Drosophila melanogaster: one gene and its partners. The protein of the gene in region 2 purifies or fractionates together with the protein of the main gene of each other region. This does not show direct contact. Each region holds a gene or a part of one and is shown on either strand. Other genes may lie near its edges. The genes, in order: Dab, N, spdo and Ser.

The links.
Region 1: the proteins of N (region 2) and Dab purify together in Drosophila melanogaster (affinity purification with western blotting; 4 studies listed by BioGRID). This does not show direct contact.
Region 3: the proteins of N (region 2) and spdo purify together in Drosophila melanogaster (affinity purification with western blotting, with the first as the bait; 2 studies listed by BioGRID). This does not show direct contact.
Region 4: the proteins of N (region 2) and Ser purify together in Drosophila melanogaster (affinity purification with western blotting; 5 studies listed by BioGRID). This does not show direct contact.

Annotation. Positions count from the first base shown.
Region 1 is NT_037436.4:16,711,898-16,716,883, reverse strand, and holds the start of Dab (disabled), read right to left. Parts: upstream 3,225-4,986; 5' UTR 2,673-3,224; coding exon 2,564-2,672; intron 1,444-2,563; coding exon 1,373-1,443; intron 1,312-1,372; coding exon 715-1,311; intron 654-714; coding exon 47-653; intron 1-46. UniProt on the Drosophila melanogaster protein: Together with Abl, involved in embryonic neural development. May have a role in eye development. Acts as an adapter protein for SH2-domain containing proteins during sevenless (sev) signaling.
Region 2 is NC_004354.4:3,132,746-3,137,999, reverse strand, and holds the start of N (notch), read right to left. Parts: upstream 3,131-5,254; 5' UTR 2,333-3,130; coding exon 2,173-2,332; intron 1-2,172. UniProt on the Drosophila melanogaster protein: Essential signaling protein which has a major role in many developmental processes. Functions as a receptor for membrane-bound ligands Delta and Serrate to regulate cell-fate determination.
Region 3 is NT_033777.3:30,474,993-30,479,609, reverse strand, and holds spdo (sanpodo), read right to left. Parts: upstream 2,927-4,617; 5' UTR 2,798-2,926; coding exon 1,436-2,797; intron 1,357-1,435; coding exon 1,021-1,356; 3' UTR 761-1,020; downstream 1-760. Other genes in the region: PH4alphaEFB (prolyl-4-hydroxylase-alpha EFB), read right to left, coding at 1-17, 183-491.
Region 4 is NT_033777.3:27,191,049-27,195,959, forward strand, and holds the start of Ser (serrate), read right to left. Parts: upstream 3,220-4,911; 5' UTR 2,896-3,219; intron 1,077-2,895; 5' UTR 695-1,076; coding exon 458-694; intron 1-457.

The DNA of each region.
Region 1 (4,986 bases), on a different chromosome or scaffold from region 2:
TCGATGATGTGGAAAAGTAGGAGGAGCGATGCTCTTTTCAACTCACCCAATGACAAAATGGTGGAGGTCTGTTCCTCATTTCCCAAGGCCGTACTTAGTCCAATATCCAGATCAGCCAGAGGTCCAGATCCTGCAGCAACCTCCGTCAGTTGTTGGGTGGGAGTGGCCGTGGATTCGCTGGAGGCCAGCGGAGCCATGGCCAAAACCGAACCCAATCCACTGCTGCTCACCACTTTGGACGTGTCGAAGACATCATTTTGTTGGTCCAGTTCCTGCAGCCAGTTGTCATCGTCGTTATCTGCAGCCTGTAGTCCAGCGGAGGCTGAGCCGTGGGAGCTACTTGTACCAGGAGGTGGCGAAAGCATTGCATCCAAACTGGTCACCGCATCAGGTGTTTTGTTGGGCGGCTTGTGCCTGTTGCGTCCGGAATCAGGTGGCGGTGGCAGTATGCTATACGAGGGCACATAGATAAACGAGTCTCCGAAAGGATCGTCCTCGCTGGCTGATTTCGCTAGAGATGGATGGCCAGCACCACCAGTGCTACTGGTGGTCGGCTCGTTTGGCGTTATCCGTTCCATCTGACTGATTCCCCGCTGAAGCGAGGTAAGCTCCTGCTCCAAGTCCACAAGATCGGCCACGGATTCCGGAGAGACCTATAAAATATAGTGTTGTAATGAAAAATAGTTTGAAATAGCATATGACTGGGTAACGAACCTCTTTGGCCGCCGATCCGGATGCCTTGGCCACGTCAAGACTCACGCCCAGCCTGCTCGTTCCATTCGTGGTGCTAAGACTACTGCCCAGCAGGGTGAGGGCATGGCCGGATGAGATTCCTCCGCTGGCCAAATCCGAGTGGCCCAGACCCATGCCACCCAGGCCGGAGGACTTCAGCGACGACAGGGAGGCCAGCTGGCTGGAATGGTCGTGCAGGGACTTACCCTGGATCTGCTGGCGCGCCATCTCAATCTCCTTTTTCTTTAGCTCGAAAACTACCTGGAAGAGATCGCGCATGGCCAGCACCACCTGGCTGGCCGCCTTGTCCGTCTTGATGCCGAAGAACCGGTGACCACTGTCCGGCGATCCGAAGATATAGCCAAAGGCCCTCGAGTCAGTCATATCCTGCGCGATGAAGGAGATCTTATGCACCGGATGATGGTACAGGGAGTCACCCGTTTTCTCATCCCTCAGCCGCAGACCATCGATGGTCACATGGATGGTTATCCGCTGCTTGTGCTCTCCAGCCGCCCGGATGGCCATTTTGAGATCTTGCAGCGCCTCCTGGCACATCCGATCACCTCGGGCCTCGCCCACCTTAAATTTCGAAAGATCACAATGTTAGATACTGAAATTTATCCAAAAAGTAAACTCTTACCTCCAGAATGCCGATGAGCTTTGCCTTGAACTGAACGCCATCGCCGAAAAAGCGTCCCGGATCATTGCGATCTGGAAAATGAGCCCAAGAATCGAATGCCAAAATGAGTCTTTGTGTTTGTTAAGGTGTGTATTCGGATAATTTTGGTTTGGCGAAAATGTTTTACAGAGTGTAGTGGTCACTCGTCAGTTTTGGAAGCCGTGGGATTTGGGGTGTGGCTGATTTATTTTGAGAGAACCCACATTTATGAACGTTTTTATTTAGCACTGTTACAAATTTTGGCAACATTTCAAAAAATTTAAACATAAAAAAGTTACAAAAGGAGTATTTAGGAAACGGAACTATAATATAATTAAACCATCTAGTCCGAAATTAAAAAGAAAATGCTTTAATATTTGCAATATAAGATGAAATGGCAAGCAAACTAATTACTCATTAGTTTATCAAAAGAAGTATAATCCATTTCGACAAAACTCTATGGATTGTGCACAAATCTGGGTTTATTGGACCGAATCCCCATTAAAATATTTTGAATGATTCATTTTTCAAATTTTTCGAGTAATTATGTGCTTGAATGAACACTTGTGTTCCTCGTTGGATCATCCAATATTTAAAATGATGCTTTGATGGAATGCAAAATCTATATGGATTATATATTTTTTATTGTGGTATATCAAATTTGAAATTTTAAAAATCTTCATTCAAGATCAAGAAGACTTTCATTGTTCTATTCAATATTTCGCATCACTTTTCATTCCTTCCGCTGGGAACTATGATTTAAAAACAGTTTTATTATTTCTTTGCCTTCCGAAGCATCTTTATTACAATTTTATACTGAATGCTAAAACAGTTTTGAACGTCTAAGTAGAATTTAAAAGATTTTTAAACATGTATGTACACTGAAAAACTTCTTCTGATCATCTTCTTTATCTTCAGATTTTTTTATAAAGAACTCGATTCTTTGAATATCAGCATTTATTGTATTAGTAAATCTCAATTTGCTATAGTGATAGGACCAATATTGATTTTTTATATATAGCTTCGTCTTATCAGCACAATATCAAAAAAAATTTTCACTGTGATCTTCGCATATGTTTGTATCTTGGTTTTGTTTGCCCTTTCTCACTGCGGAGGGGCCACTGTGTTCGTTTGTTTGTTATTTGTGTATTTGCTTAGTTTGTTTTCGCTAACGTTTTGCGTAATTCGTTTCCTCTGCCGCGCCGCTGCCGCCGCCAAAGGTGCTGGCCAACGAGAGATTGGAGGAGGCTGTGGACAACTTGGCCACCAGGGACTTGACCATGTTTCGCCCGGCCGAAGTCTCAGTGGGTACTGCTCCTGCTCATTGGGAAAACGCTGGCTGGAAAAACTCTGGAATTCTGGAACTCTGGTCACCGAAGTGTCAACAGAATCAGTGTAGCATTCCGGGCCTCTCTGTTGTGTGTGTGTGTGTTGACATTTCCATTGGGACGCGGACGATGACGAGAGGGTGTTGGTGCTGGAGGGGGCACACAATGGGGGACAAACAATACATAAATTCCACAACGATTTTTCGCGACGCTATAGATTTAATTAAATTCTAGCGGAGAACGATGCGCGATCATGGAATGAATAAAAGCGAATGAGAGCGTGGAAACGATTCGAATGCTCTCACGGTGACTCTCTTTTTCGACTGGACTGGATTGTCGCAGTTTGTTCAATTGAAATAATAAACAAAAACACACACACACACTCTTTGAGGCACTCGTGTGTACACATAGATTTCACTCTATTATTTAGTGATTTTTGTGGCGCAAAATACAGTACAGAAAACGAGCAGCTCTCTCGGCCATTGTTGATCTTTTTTGGGAAAACTGCAACACCTGCGACGCCGGCGCAGCAGCTGCTATTCGATTGGCGGATGCTGTCTGAGACGCTTATCGATAAGCCGGGTCTAGCATTGAATCGAGGGATCGATCAATAGGATATATCGGAATTTGAAAAGCTAGCTTCGGCCAGAAATAAACCTAAAACGTTTAGTTTTACTTAATGGTGAGGAATTTACTTTGTCCCTGCTCATAAGTATGATTAGCTTTTTAAGTAAACAAAGGAGAACGCTATGGTCGAATTACGCAGATAATAGAAGTGCGAGGGAGATGCAGGAAGGAAAGTAGAAAAGTTGACTGACAAAATATTTACCACCTAGAAAAGGTCTATCATGTCTCTACAACATGGCGTATGAGTGTAATTTGATATGCAGTGCTGTTAAAAGGGCAAAGTATCTTTAAAGAGAAACAATTTAGGACAGTTTTTCTTTTACTGATTTCAGAAATATTACTTTAGAACTTCGAAGTAGGGATGCCTGTGTTCAAAATACATAATATACCCTAATTCAATTGACAATACCAAATAAATTCGTTGTTGACATAAAACACTGCAATTTAAATCAATGTGAATGGCTTGCGTTTTTAGTTGATAATTTCATCATTCCTCACTAGCAAAAATTTCAAGAAAAAAAATTTCTTCCCACAAGAAGAATTACTTTAAAAAGACTTTATAGATGAAAAAATTCCGTTTTAAGGTGTTATTTGTATTACTTACATTTACAAGGACTCGTTTTCTTGCGCAGCGTCTGCATTTTGCTCAGAAAAAGCTGATTGGCATTCGTGTAGTAATTCCTTTGGCCGCGTATAATGTTGCGAATAATGATTGAGCCTTAAAGAGCTTTATTTATTTATGATTTATTGGACTTCCTTCGTTGTTTTATTGCTAATTGCCTTTTGTGATTTGTTTACACTTGTTTCGCTCTTTGCGTCTTCCGTCTCTTTCGCACTCCCCAACTTCCTGACAGTCAGCGTTTTGTTGTTGTTGTTATTGTGCCAGTCGGTCGATAGAACACACCGGCATTTGTCTCACTCACACTCGCACGCGCTCACACGGACACGGCACGGATTATCGATTTTCCAACGGGGGCCTCTGTGTGCGTGTTTACTTCCACTTTGCCTACTTTAAGGCGTTGTGGGGGGTGGGAAAGGGATGTAGCTACGCCTTTCATTATGCAGCGGTAAGCTATCTAACTTCAATTAACTGTTATTCGTTGTTTTTGATCCTTTCCCGTCTTAATATTGCACAACACGCGCAGCTTTCTTTGTCTGGCAGCCAGGAAAAAAAGTGAAGCACAAAGAAGTGGGTGACACACTCGTGATTTTGGCTGAGCGAAAAAACCAATTCGACTCTTTTGGCAAATATTTACAAGCTGATTTTTACGTTCTTCCTGCTTTGCATGTTATTGGCCATTAATTTAACCCAATTTGAATGGGTTTGTAGTTTAATTTGGGTCCTACGCCCTGGGAGCAGCAGGATATGCACACACACCGAAAATTCGATAGTAAAACTCCAAGGATTCGAGGGTGGTGGGTCAAGTGCCGCGGGCACCCTGTACGCCAGCCGGTACATAGGCTATCGGTCTATCGACGACAACCGATAGGTAATTGCTCGTACTTGCGGTACACACAATTACATATGTTTATACAAAGGTTTGACATAAATTGAAACTATAATAGTAAATTTCTCTGTTAAGCTTTGATAGAAAAAAAAAATGTAAAGATTTTATACCAAGGGTACCTTAAAGTTCGATT
Region 2 (5,254 bases):
CAATATGCCAGGACTCAGGGGTTGCTCCTGCTGCTCCTGCTTCTCCTGCTGCTGTTTCACTTTTGGCTCCAGGAGCCCAGCTGTCGTTTATTCCAACTACATTCTTTCTATATGCGCCTGGTTGTGTACATATATGATGAAATCGAATGCGGTGGTTGGTTCTGGTTCTCGTTTCTCGAAACCGTTACGTGCCACATTAAACCTGCAAAAAAATAATACCCTAAATTTGTGGCTAAATGCAGGCGTTCGATCGCACAAAGTTGAACAAACTTGGATTGGAGCTAATGGGGCGTAAATTTGTGAGAACTTAATAGGTACAAAAATGTACATGAAGATTCGAGAGATTTTTGTTTTTTTTTTTGGTTTTTTTTTTCCATCTTCGAACACTTTTTTCTTAGCGCAGTAGTAGAATGAAGTGAACTGAATGCAAAGGATGCCCTTTTTGTTTTTGCAATATATCCTGGCATCAATTAACACTCTTATTATTACTACTTTCAGCATTTTTTTCACCTTTATATGCATATGCATTTGTATACTTTTTTATACCGTTTATTTAACTTTTACTACAACTTCCTTTGGCTAAAACTGCAAAGATCACACGATTACCCATGGCTAATAAAGCCAGAAAAAAAAAGAGTTTAGGAGGCGGAAACTCGAGCTCAGGAAATGCCCAGGTAAAAGTTATAAACATAATAGTTCAACGCTCTTCGGTTGCAGCTGTTAAAAAATATAAAAAAAATAGCAGAGATCATGGAGTGCGTAATAATAAAGTTGCCCAGTGCTCAGGGATCAAATTTCTAGTAATGATCATTTAATTGCTTTTAAACGTTTGATGGATTGATGGATTTCGATAGATTTTCGAATAATGAAACAACAAAAAATTCTCTGACATTATCAAATTTGTTTCAAAATACTATGATATCGAGCTGCATTCCCCATACTTTCTCATCGTTGAGCCGAGAATTCCGTCGAAGAGATTTCGAGTTCCATGGAAAGTTGACATTTTACTGGGGCAATCGACCCTAAGTACACCTACAACCGATCCGATCCGATCCGATACGATTCGGTGTTTGTTCAGTGATTAGACAACGACCGCTCCATATGCAAATACCCAAGTAAGCCCCATGTGCATGCGGCACAACACAGCGTGTGGAGGAGGAGAGTTCGCTTCCAAAGCTGGAAAGGAAGTTGGCCACTCACTACTAGCGAGCAAATAGCGCAGTGAGAAAACACAAAGGAAAGAGTGCCTAGAGTGCTAGGGGAATGGAAAAACTCGCCTTTTGCCGACGGTAAAAACGGTCTTTCTTGTTTCGAAAAGGTGGGTTTCCAAATCTGAGAGAGCATGCGCAGTCGGCGGAGAGCGAGACAGCGACAGCGATCGAGCGAGAGCGAGAACGAGATCAGCGAGACAACAAGGAGAGAGAGAGAGAGAAAGAGAGAGGAAAAAAAAACGACCACCTGTCCGAAAAGCGACAACAAAGCGAAGCCAAGGAAGACAGCGCAAAAGGAAGCGCGGTGAATACAAGCCATGAAAAGGAAGGCGAAGAGCGAAGAGGAGCTGCCCAAAAGGGAGACAAACGAAGAGGATCGAAAAGGGAATGGAGAAACACAGAGAACGCATTTGGGAGCGGATTCCGACGATTGCGTTTAAAGTGAAATTCTTTAAGGTAGGATTTGCAACAATCCTATAGGCTTATTAAGCAGATTAAGTAGCATCACTTCCTTTTTGGATTACAGTTGCATGGGTTTGCTCAGTCACTTATATGTGTTGCGAATGCATCCGATTTTATAGACCAACATTTCCTAGCTATGCAATGTAGCGATCTATCCAACGGGTTTAAGCGGAACTAGTCCAATGCAAATGTATGTATATTTTGTAATTGCAATTTTAGTTGTTTCATACTAAGTATGCTCCATTTAAAACTGACATCTAAGACCAAACAATTATGCGATTCAGTACTATTAGTTGAGATCCACATCTTTCAGCTATACAAGATCATCTTATCTCATAGTTTTGGTTCTGTAAAAAACCGTTCTTTGGCAAGCGTTTTGGAACGTTTTGAGCCTCCTGGAATTCCAGTTTGTGCACCCACCCTATTTTCGGGCGACCCCGCCTGTCACCCTGCCCTCCCCCCGCCTAGTTGTTCTGATCGGCGTCTCCGCTTTACTCACCAGTTCCGCGAACGGTGTTTGGCAAATTCGCAAACGCCAGCGTCAACAGCAGCAGAGGCAGCGACGCCGGCAGCGACGCAACGGCGTGCATTTTGTTAATCCAAAAACAAATCCAAGTGTTTGGTGCGCGACTGCGACGTCGGCTGCGCTGCGATTGCATTGTAATCCAGTTTTCCAGTTAACCACTTTTCCAGTTTTTCACCTCTACTCGCTTCTCGGTTTCTTTAGCGCTCCTCTTTGGTCTCTCTTTGAGGATATGTTTAACTGCGAGTTTAGGTTTAGTATGCTAGTCTCAGTAGTTTAAGCAATTTTTTGTTTTAGCGCGTTTGTTGTTTTTTTGTTTTTTTTTTTGTTTTTTATAGTTTTGAACTTCAGACTTTAAAGCTTTATTTGATAAACTAAGAGGAGGCACTCTCCCGACGACGGCGACATTTTCCGTTTTGAAACATAAAAAAAAAGTGGCAAAAAAAGAACGCTTTTCGTGTATCTTTTGCTTGCTTTTCTCTTCGCGAGGATCGAGCCACAAATTCAAATTCAAACCGACGCCGCACGCTTGCGTATTGCTCTCTTCCTCTTGCGCTTCTTGCACTCGGCTTTCGTCTCACTCTCACACACGCGCGACTCGAGGTAGATACACTTTTCGAAAATCCTTGTTTCTCTCCCTCTCTCTCTCTCGCTCTCTGTGTCGCTCTCTCGTTGCTATCCCTGCGACAGGCACTCCTTGCTCTTGCTGAACGGCTTTCCCGCTGGGGCCATCCTTTTCATTTCATTGCATTTGCTTGCTGTGTAATTGATTTGTTTGTATATCCTGTTGGCAGCGCGATTTTACGTGCGTTGTTGCACACACATTCAAAAAAAAAATAAATGTTGAGAACTGTGCTCTGCGCTTTCCAGGTTCGTCTGCCTAACGCTCGTCCGCTTTCACAACCGTTTCGTCCACTGGAAAAAAGCGATCTGTTTCAAATCGGCAGTGTGACCGCGTCGGTGCAAGAAAAAGATACCGTATGGCGGGGAGCCATTTTGGCAGCGCGCTCTTTCGCAGCGTTGCGAGATCGGTTGGTGAACAAATAACGTTAGCCGGGCTCCGAGCCGCTTGCATGAGTAGTTTCCCCATTTCGCCGAATGGCGCTTTAGTGCCGTCATAGCGGTATGTAGAAATTACGCTATGTAAAATGTAAAATTCGACAATGTAAGATTCGTAGAAATTACGCTATGTATAATGTAAAATTCGACAATGTAAAATTCGTAGGCACTGGAAAAAAATGTGCATAAATTTGATTGAAAAACGCACTTGTAGCATTTTTTAAGTATTTTATTTTCCTTTTGTTCTCGTATCTTTATTTCAACTAATTTGAGTTGTTCTCGACTTAAGTTAGGTTTTCCCGCAATACGTTCTTAGTTTTCATTTTCCGTACCTTTTTTTTTCGCAACTCCGCTTCCTGCAATTATCATACTTTACTTGGCTTAATAGGATTTCATTTGAATTTCATTTCGTTTCGTGTGTAACGTCTATATAATTGAACGCTTAATTGAATCGTTTGACAATTATCGAAAACAAAAAAAAATATGTAACACCATACTTATCTCCGATTTTCGGAACGCTATCCCAGTTAAAAAGCTCGGCGCAATTGGCCCACGGAAAGAATAGAATTAGATTCGAGTGTATAAATCAGTTTAAACGAACGGGCATTATTTTTAAGCATTTTCAGAATTACTTTAGATAAATACATACATATGTATATTCTCGAAAGAAACAAAAAATAAAATATGAAACAATAAATTAGTTAATTAATTACAGTATTGGCTTAGTGAATTAAGAACCCAACGAGGAATCATAAGGCAGCATTTCGTGTTAAAAATTGAACGCTTTACACTTAATTGCGTTTTTTTTTTTTTTGGTAGATCGCTCAAATGTTTTACAAATTGTTTCTAAGCTTTTTAAGTTTTTCTTTTTACCTTTAAAATTCTTCATTTACGTCTATAAATAGGCTTAAACCTAAACTAGGCAGACAAAAAAAAAAAATTACAAACATTCTCTCTAATCTTAGCTAGTCATTTTTTAATTCAAGCGTTGACATACACATTTATGCTCTATATATATATATATATATATATATATACGATATACAATATTTCATTTGCTTCTTTACATAATTGATTTAAGTTCAAATATCATTTACGCGCTTAGGGCTAGACAAAAAAATATTCAACTTTTCACATGGATGCTGAAATGCTGTGCCACTGAAAACCCGATCAAAAAGTTGGAAAGTGGGAACTATATATATATATATATATATATATGTTGGTGGTTTTTCTAATTTTATTCACTTTACTCGTAAATCACCAATATTTGGACATCTTTTTGTTTTTAGTTTTTTGCGGCTTGGGGATTATCGATTAAATTGCAATAATACTGTAGCATCCCGTAAAAATATAGTTTTCAATTCAATTTCAATTTTGTTTGTTTGTGTGCAAAATAATAGTTATATATGTTACTTTTGGCTCTTCTTGACCGGGTCACAGATGCAGCACAGCACTTAATCTAAATATTTTCTCTCACTGCATTCAGTTGGTTTCGTTTGATGTATACGTAATTAAGTCTAAAAAATTTGATAAATTTTGGCTTAGAAAATTGTTTTTGCTTTCTGCTGCTGCTGCTTTACTTTTCATTTTCGTTTGCTTTTATATTATTATTATTTTTGTTTTTTTTTTTAGTTCCAACTAACTACACAGGCTTTTTGTTTTGTCATAATGTATATAATTGAATTGATTTTCGGTTTCGTTTTAAAATTGTATGCAACACGCTGTTTAAAATGAACTTTTCAAGTTTTGTAGTTGTTTTGTGTTTTTGTTTTTACATTTCTGTTCGATACGCGTTTCGTGTTTAATTGATATACGATTTTTTACTCGATAAGTAGCTTAAGATTTGCACTAGTTGATATAATTTGCCGCTGCGAAACTCATCGAGCTCAGCCATAAAATAATTAACGCTATAAATCACAATACGGTTTTTGTTTTCTTCTGTTTTTTTTTTTTGTGTTTTGTTTTTCGTTTTTATACACATTTCTTTTTTTTACTCAAG
Region 3 (4,617 bases), on a different chromosome or scaffold from region 2:
CCGAGGACATTTCCGTGCTGCGGGATAATAAATTTGGTCAGTGAGTATCCCAGGGACTTGGCCGCTCCACTTCGAGAAGTTTATTTTTTTGGTAACCAGAAAATCGATGACTGTGCTCAGCTTTGTATAGCTCTAGCTTACTTCCTTACTTCTCGCATGCATTTAGTTGGACAAAAACTTACCTGTACTGAATGCCATTCAGCTTGCCCCTCGCCACACTCGAAGTGTCCAGTTGGTAGGTGTCTTGCAGGCGGAGCAAGGCCACCGCCGCGCCATTGAGGTCCTCGTCGGAGGGGAACTTCAGGAGGCTGCGATACTGGGTGATGTTCTGCAGGAAATCCGTGCCCACGTCGTGCTCCATGAGGTTCTCCACCTGACGCCAATCGGTGGTTAGCCGCTTAGTCAGCAGGTACGCATTGATTGGATTGGATACATAGGCGGTTATATCATGGGAGGCATCCGAGTGCTCCCTCTGGTACTCGTCCATTTTGCTGCAATTTAAAGAGAGGGCAAAACTTAGTAGACAGAAGAGCAAAACACATTGCTTTAAAATATGCACCGTATTTCAATAGTTAAAAGGTGCTGAAAGCTGAAAAATAATTGTTTACTCAATTAAGTTAAGTATCACGACGCTGAATCTATAATTTTAACACTCGACCTATATTTGAAAGTGTTTATTCACCATATATATATTTTTGATTGTTAAAGAACTAACCTAATTGAACACTTTAACCATTTCCTTATTGATACAAAATGCTGTGCTGGTATCTACGTGCCTTTATTTTATTCTTATTCCATAACATACTTATACTTAGGTGAACAATAAGTTAAGCAAACTAAGTGTTAGCAATAGGTACAACCCACTTGTTATATACAGTCGTTTGGGGGATGATGATCTTCCGCTGATTATAAATCTAATTCTTGTTTTTGGTCTTTTAGCCGTTCGGTGTGTCAAGTTCTTGAATTCGAAGTGGATGGTGTACAACTAATTAGAGTCTAGGATTAACTATTTCCAGGGTATTAGACCACGTTGACGCGGTTGTCTGGCGGAGGTCGGTGGCACCACAAGCTGCCCAGCACTCCCAATCCGATGAAGAACATGGTGAAAGTCGACAGTCCAAGGATGACGCCAGTGGTCACATCGTGGACAGGAAATCCGGGGAAGGGGTCCACCACGAGTATCACAAGCAATCCGCAGGACTTGAATAGGCAAAATACGGTGACCAGGATATAGCCGGAACTATAGCTCCTGTTCGGCAGCCACTCGCAGTGGCGCGACTTGAATCCCAGGAAGCCGAGTCCCATTCCGGAGAAGGAGGCCACCAGGCTAAACTGCAGGTAAAAGGACTTTCCGAGCTGTAGGCGAAGAAAAAGTGTTATTCAAATGTTTCCATGGACAAAATGAATATCTTTAAAAGTATTTGAGAGTACTTACGTGTGCTATCATGTAGATGATGAGCCCCGCATTCATGGTGCTGCCCAAGACGAGCATCAGGGAGACAACGGCCAAGGTAATGGTGGCATTGGCCATCTTCTGCGGATAGGAGCTGTTTTTCTTGCCCTTTCCCTGGATGCTGCTCATGTCCTGTTCCCGTTCCTGCTCCTGCCCCTGCTCCTGGACCCTGGGACTGATGACGGCCATGGATCGATCGGCGATCTGCATGGGAAGCGGCTTCACGGTCTCGTAGTGAAGTCTCTGGGGGGAGAGTCGATTCTGGCGAAGTGGCAAGGTTGGAGGGACTCCTACTACCGCTCCAACTTGTTGGCTTTGGTAGATCTGTTGGCTTTTGTAGATCTCCAAGCGCCTTTCCAGCTGCAGCTGCTCGTGGTGGGCGGCGTTCCGGGGCGTTGAGTGCGCCAATCGCGGAGGCGGCTGCATCTTCCTGGGCGTGGTCAGGAGCTCGTGCAGGGCCCTCGTAGCGGCAGCCGCATTCTTTTGCTGCGGCGTTGAGGTCCTCGCTGCGTACTGCCTGCTCAATTCCATGTTGCTCAGGCAGGTTTCCTGCTGCTCCTGCTCCTCCGCCAGATCATCGTCGTCCGCATCCGTGGGCACCACTGCATATCGATGGGCGCGGCCATTGTGCATCTGTATGATCTCCTGGTTCTCGTCTACCAGCTCCTCGTCCTCGGCGGTGGGCACCATCTGGTACCTCTGGTTGCTATTCTTATCCACTATCAAGAAGGTCTTGCTGCCGAAGTCGCTACTAAAAGCATGCTTAATCTGGGTTTGATTGGCATTGGTATTGTTGTTAATATTCCTGGGCTTGGGCGGCAAATTAAGTATCGGTGGCAAGCTGGCAAACTGGGTCTCCTGATGGGGTTCCTCGTGGAAGGAGTGAGGCTCCTCCTCTTCGTGCAATCCATGTCTGGAGCCATAGCGATCCAGATTATCCTGTGATCGGGCCAGTCTCTGTGCCGCCTGTCCTGGAACTATGGCGTATCTACTGGCCCTACTGCTGTTCAGTTCCTCTAGGGGAACCAAGGCATAGCGACCACTAGAGGATTGCGGCTGGTGTTGCTGCTGCTGAGCCAGGTGTTGCTGGTGTATCTGCTGTTGGTGTTGCTGCTGCTGCTGCTGCTGGTGTTGTTTCCGCGTCACCGATCGCGTGGACATGCTACGCTGCATTCGCAGTGGACCCTCGCGGGGATCTCGAGTGGCGCGCGGAGGAGCCGCTCCAAAGTTCATCTGGAGGCTTCTGTTGTAGATGGACTCCACTCGCGACGAGTTGCCGCTGGGCACCGGGTAATACTCGCTGTTCTGGCAGAAGGCCGGGTTCGTATAGTTATGCTGCGACATGTTGGCACTGTACTGGTGGCAATTCCACAACCTCTTAGGGGTGTTCTTTCACTACTTTGGGTTTTCTTTGGGTTCGTAGCACTGTTCACGATCCGCTCGCCTCGGCAACTGCGACTCGACTGATCTAGAGAGCCGTTCCAGACGGCAGCTCCTCAACTTCCTCCACTTCCTGCGCCGGCGCGCAGTCGAGTGGATCGTGCTCCGATACGAGTCCCCACCCCATAAAACACCATTTACTTGTACATAAGACACCCGTACACCCGTACAATGACCGACTGTGTTTGGCGCGTTCCATTAGGCCATTGGAACCGAACCGAATGTGAAAACCCAGAAACATCTGCTCCTGCTGCTCGACGAACGAACGGGGGTTGAAACGCATTTCACTTCCAACTGAGACGTCTCAACGCGATCCTAACCAAAACCTAAAAACCCCTGGCGAATTGCAGGAGCAGCCGGCGTTTTATTCGGTTCGCGTTTATCGGCGTTTTTAATTCTTATTTACCAACTCATATGCGCTCCCTTGCGACTTTAATTCTGTTTTGCTACCACTTAGTTGGCGAGTTGAGGGGTATGATGAATGTGTTTTAAATCCACCTAAGATTATACTCGAACATAACCAGTGTAGAGCAGATCATATCAGCACACTGTCATCACCGAGAATTCAACATAATTTAACTATCATAAAAGTGTTTTTTCTTTATTATAATCATATAAGAACTAGTTGTTCTTGTTCCTTTTGTTCATCCGCTGCTTTGTTTCTCGACCGAAATATTTAAAATAGTTTATTGTTTGTTGAAAACATATCGTGCTTTTATTATATATGGTTAGCATCCGTATATCGGCACCATTAAAACAAACTTTTAATGAATGCTTTCACAAAACAGTTTAGTTTAATATGCACATATTTCTGACGTAAAAGCGTCAAGCCATAAAGTAGAGCTTAGCTTCAGTCAGAAAGAAATGAAACAAAAGAACTTAAGAGATTAAATTATTTCACTTCGCTTATTTATTTTAAGGGGTACCCTTCAGTCGCGCTTGCTTCTTAAAAATAATCCTTGCTCAGCTCTGATGTTTGTGCAGACCAAAAACCTTCCCTAAAGGCAGCCCTCCCCGGATTTTTGTTGCCCAAGCGACCGTTACATTTGGTTGTCAGAGAAAAACGATAAAAAACGAAGAGTTCGTGGGTCAACTTTATCCGGATTTCGCCTCCCACGTGCATACATATGTACATGCCTTTGAGCCCGCAGGTTGGATGCACGCGTGTTGTCCTTTTGTGGTGGCCAACTTAATTGCCTTTTGGCCAGAAGCAAATCAGCGCAGCCGGGGGCATTTGTCAAGCGGATTAGCCAGAAATTGGAGGCACCAACAGCTGGTCGGTGGGAAAATTTAAGATGCATATAAAGTTAAACGCCGGCAGACGGCACGCGACTAGAGTGCGGGGTTTCTGCACAGTATCCGAAGGATACTCGGATGCAGATACTCAAAGGCAGGGGCAATGACAGCGCACAAGGATAACAGACAGAGACGGCAGGCACACAGCTGTCAGCTGTTTGCGAGGATCCTGTCTCGTCCTTTGTTGTGACACAACCAAGGTACAAATGCAGGAACAGAAACTCAACTAAACTCAACTGAACTGAACAGCAGAGAAACAGCCGCAAAGATAGATCCTGAATCCTGAGTCCTGAGTGCGACTGGCATTATTTGATTAGGGGAGTTGTCTCACCGCATCCTGCACCCTGCTCTCTCCCCCATATTATTTCCGCTGCCAGTTGTCATATATATACGCCACATAGATCCCCTTCGCATATAAGCAAGAGATA
Region 4 (4,911 bases), on a different chromosome or scaffold from region 2:
GATTTGTTGATATTTTAAAACGTAATGGATACATTAATTGAACAGGGAAAATATATCCTCTATTTTAATCTCAGCATTTTCAATCTTATTAAATAACTTAAGACTGTAAATGATTTCTGTTTTTTTAACGCGTTCTACGAATCTTGTTTATTGACATATGCTTGATTTACTGCTTTGAGAAAATTCCAGCGTAAGAGCTCTCATTAAAGACAGCTCTTCGGGATGCGGAGTTGATAAATCACTCAAAAAAATAAACCCAAAAATCATCATTATTTACGTCCCCCATCAAAACTTTGCCCTCAGCCATTGCCAATTCGCATGGGTTGAATCAACTTTGTCTGTTTTCTTTTGGCCTTTTTGACGAGACACTACACCCGCATGTATTTGGATCTGGGGCTTTTTGCGATTATTGCTTTGGGGATTCGATCGTTTTTTGCATGTTGGTTGGTTTGCTTACCTTATGGACTAACAGTATTAAAATTAAAGCAATTAAGTTGCAGGCAGACTTTAATGATCGACAATCGCGGATCGTCGATGGCAGGGTCGCGATTTTGGGTACCCGATGCCTCGGACGCTGCCTTTTTGTCGCCGTCTTCTTGGACATTCCCAGGCTGTCTGCTGATTCTATTGTTGACTCCAACGACGACGACGTAGCTGGTTTTCGCCGAAAATGTTTCCTAAACATTTTGTACATTCTGGGGGCGTTTGCGAGCGTGATGCTGGTTGGCGATCTAGATGGAGTTTGTTTCGGATTCACTCTGGATTGGCACCACACAAATGTAAATTCGCTGGGCAGCCTTAATTAGCCCATGTATGCAGATTTTGGTGCCTTTGTTTGTTTCTATTTTGCCACACTACACTTGCTCTGGATAGCTGAATAACTGGCCGTACTCTGGATGCTGTATCATTTTCTCCACTTTGCCTTCGTTTTGTTTGGTTTTGTTTGGATAATGTTGTTATCACACACAATTATTATTTATTATTTATATGGACCTTAGTATGTGCTTCTCTCGTTTTTGTTTTGTTCACACTTGACACTTCCACTTGATAGGCGCTGATGTTTTGTAGATCTTTAGCTGTAACAATTGTCGAACGAATTGGAATTGAAACGGGCTGCGCAAAATCTATTTCACTGTGCATCATCAACGCTAATTGACACGCAGATGATGCTGCTGCTGCTGCAGTTGCAGTTGCAGTAGCGGCAACCGCAGCAAGCCGCAACAAGTGCCACCAGCCACCGCAGCAACATTTACTTTTGCCAGACCGCAAAAAGCGGCAACGTGCAGCAAATGCAAATGCAATTCAATTTATGTTAATTTAACGCTGTTACTGCCGCTGCTGATGTGGCTGCTTCTGCAGTTGCTGCTGCTGCGACTATGGAGCCGTGTCTTTGGCCACAAACAATTTGCATCTTGTGCGCATATTAATTTACAGATATTTTCACTCTTGCTCACATTACTCATTCTTCCCACCCTGCCGCTGCTTTTGCCATTCCGGCCATCCTATCCTCCCATGGCCTTTAGCCCCCCAGCCCGCCCCGGTTCCTCCTGCTCGGGTGTTAATTGTCCATTTAATTAAGTAATTTGCTTGGGGCCTCCTCCCGGCTTTGGCACGGAACGGAAGTCGTTGACTTTGAATCGAAACCCAGATGCTGCCGCTCTTGCTCATGCTGCTGCTGCTGCTGCCGCTGATGTGGATGTTGCTGCTGCTGCAGGGCATGACCGGAAGTGGCTTTTGCAAGTGGATGATGCAGCTACCTCCCCCTTAATACCCCCTAATACCGCTACTTTCACTCTTCTCTCTTGGCAATTTGCAAAACGATGAATGAACTTCTAGCGGCCTCAAAACTTTAGTATACCGTGTATCCATTTCTATTTCTAGTAACTTCTGGATATACTCTGATTTATCAAATAATTGTGCAACCAGATCACCGTCTTGAACTTAACGATCTGAATAAGCTTTGGACCGTGCTAGATCCGTTATTCGTTGCATATGGTAAATCATTGAGCAGTGCATCGAGCATTTTCCGCGCTCTCTTGATCAGGGGCTTTCCCATGCTCGTACCACCCATTCAGAACCAAACTGATTTCACAATCTCTCTTTTCTCCCGGTGCACAGAAGAAAACTACACTACTTCATCTATACGGAAAGTTCTTTAACTTTCTAATAAAACATTTGTTATTCAATTCAAAATTCTTTAAATTTAGAAAAAAAAATCCGTGTTAAGCATCGCTTTTAGAAAGTCAAATACTTTCAATAGGTTGTTTGGGAATCCCACTTATTAAGTTCTAGTGGAAATTTCTCTATGTGCGCCCATTATTATTATTATTTGTATTATCTGCGTGCATTATGAACTAGTCGGATGTTTTCATTCTTTCTCCCTTTCACTTGGCATGTTTCAATTCCACTTCGTAGTTGTAGCTTCGTGTGTTTGTGTCCCTGTTTTGCGTCCCTGTGTGCGTTATCAATGGAGCACACTGTGGCCAGCGATTCCCCCGGAATGGGGCACTCGTTTTCGCATATTCACATTGTTTGCACTTTTACTTTTCGCCTTTGATTAAACACAATTTTGACGGCATTGTATTTTGATATATTAATGTATTGTATTTAATTGAAAGGTATTTCCGTTTTCCTTAGCTCACACGATCTGGGCTCAGAAATTAATCACACACTATGGAAACACACACATAGCAAAATGTCGGCTGATTGTCGATCTTTCGATTTGCTTTTCTTCCACCGAGCATTTGTAGTTGATTGCTCTTCATCATTTGTTGTAATCAGCAAGCAATTTAATTCGATTGCGGCACATTAAACACTTTCACAATTGTTATATGGATGATGGTCGGTGGCGTTCAGTTTGGGTGCACAATAATCCAATTCGAGGAGGGGTTTTACCGTTGACAGAAAAGGGGCTCATCACCGCTCGAAGCACGGCGCTCGACTAAACGCGTTAACCGAATCCTGCGGCATTTCCAGCCCTCGAGCAGCATCCATTCACGGGGCGGAGCAAGTCACGCGAGAGAGCTGCGGTTTTGGTGGTGGTAAAGGTGGTGAGGTGAGCTGTCGCTGCTGCTGCTGGTGGTGGTGGTGGTGGTGGTGATCTGCAGTCTTAAGAGAACTGTGGCTCGGTCTGAACCACCGAAACCGCTTTCAAAATAAACTGGCGACGACTTCCGCTGAGTGCTGCGTGCGCTTCAGGCTTCGACTAACGACTGATTGCCTCTGGGCACAAGTTGCCGTCGATCCCGAGAGCTTAACTCGCAGCGATTCTCTCTGTGCTTCTCTTTGAAGAAAACCAGTTTGCTCTTCGTGCAGTGCTCTTTAGCCAGCCGCTGATTGGTCGTACGACTGTATATAGCCCCGGGGCCCGGAATCTGAATCAGAATCGGCAGTTAATGGAGTTGCTGCCGCTTCGGCTGCTGCACGCATGCGCGCCCGAGGCTCTCGGCTGCCGTTTTTTACGATTCCAACTTAATTATGCCAATAAGTGCATTCTGGGGCTGTGTGTGTATGTGTGTGTGTGCTCCAGATCTAGTAGCTCCAAGGGACTGGCAATTAACACCTAATATGAAGGAACGCTCCCACAATCTTTAACGGCTGGGAACCAAATCGAAAGATACTAGCATCGGCCAATTATTAACCACACAGACAGAGCGGCGACTTCCATCCAATTATCTGCTGGCCAAAAGTGTATAAATCAAATTTAAATGCAACTGGCCTATCAGTGCAGCCAAAACAAAAGACTTAAGCAACAAACTTGGCAATTACATGCGGCCAACAAGACAGGCGGCAGCATCTTTGTTGTTGCTGCTGCCTACCTTACTGTTGTTGTTAGCGGCTCATATTTCTTGAGGCGCATATCTAAATATCGAATCATGTTGCTGATTTTCCATTGTCTGCCCACCACAGCAACAACAGCAGCAGCAACAACTGCTGCTGCCTCAACAACTGCAACAACACATAGTAAATCTCATTGTGCCGTTGTGACATGACTCTTGTTCGACAATAGATAAAACAAATTGACTTGGTGTGTGCCCAAAATGTCTTCTCTAGCCGTCTCCCTGGCCATTTGGGTCTCCATCCTCCTCTATTTGGTGGGCGTACTGGGCAGCGGTCTCCCAGCTCCTTTGTCATCTTTTCTCGCTTAAAAAAAAAGAAGAAAAAAAAAACAGAAGAAATGGAAGAAAAACTGCACTACAATGCCCATTATCAGCTTACATATCTGCGACAAGAGACCCCAGAGCGGCAATTGTACGGGCCACCGAGACGGCAACGGCAAAGGCAACTGCCAGCGGCAATGGCAACGGCTTCGTTGTCCAAATATGTTGCAAGTTGGTGTTATTCTTCACACGGCATCATAAATTTCACGTATAATTGACGCTTTCAGTTATATCAAAATTGGCTAAAAGGCGACGACCAGCTTTGCGTTGGTGGCCAGCAGACTACAGCCTTCAGCCATCAGCCTCCAGAGACTTCGAGCTGGTGCTCCCCAGAGATATTATTTTTGCTCACTGTGGCTTACATTGTTTTCGTTTTGATTTCAACTAATAGCAGACAACGACTTACAGGTGTCTTTGTGCGCGTCTCTCATAATTTGGGGGCACTCTGTGTTGGCGGCTTGTTGGACACTTGTTCGGGTTTGATGGCATTTCTTTTTTGGGATTAGCTTTCGTTTTCCGGCCAAGTGTTTTTGTGTTTTTTGGTTTTACTGTCACATGTAACAGCTGCAAAAGTGGACCAGAGCGGTGGCATAAATCCATAAAATCAAACATATTGAGTAATCAAAATGTTAAACCCACCCTCTTGACAAAGGTTCACCCCCTCAAACCAAAAAAACCCTCGTTGGGCGAGTTCATTAAACAAACAGGCAAATATGTTGGCAATTTCAACCAGTTGGTTTTACACCACTCA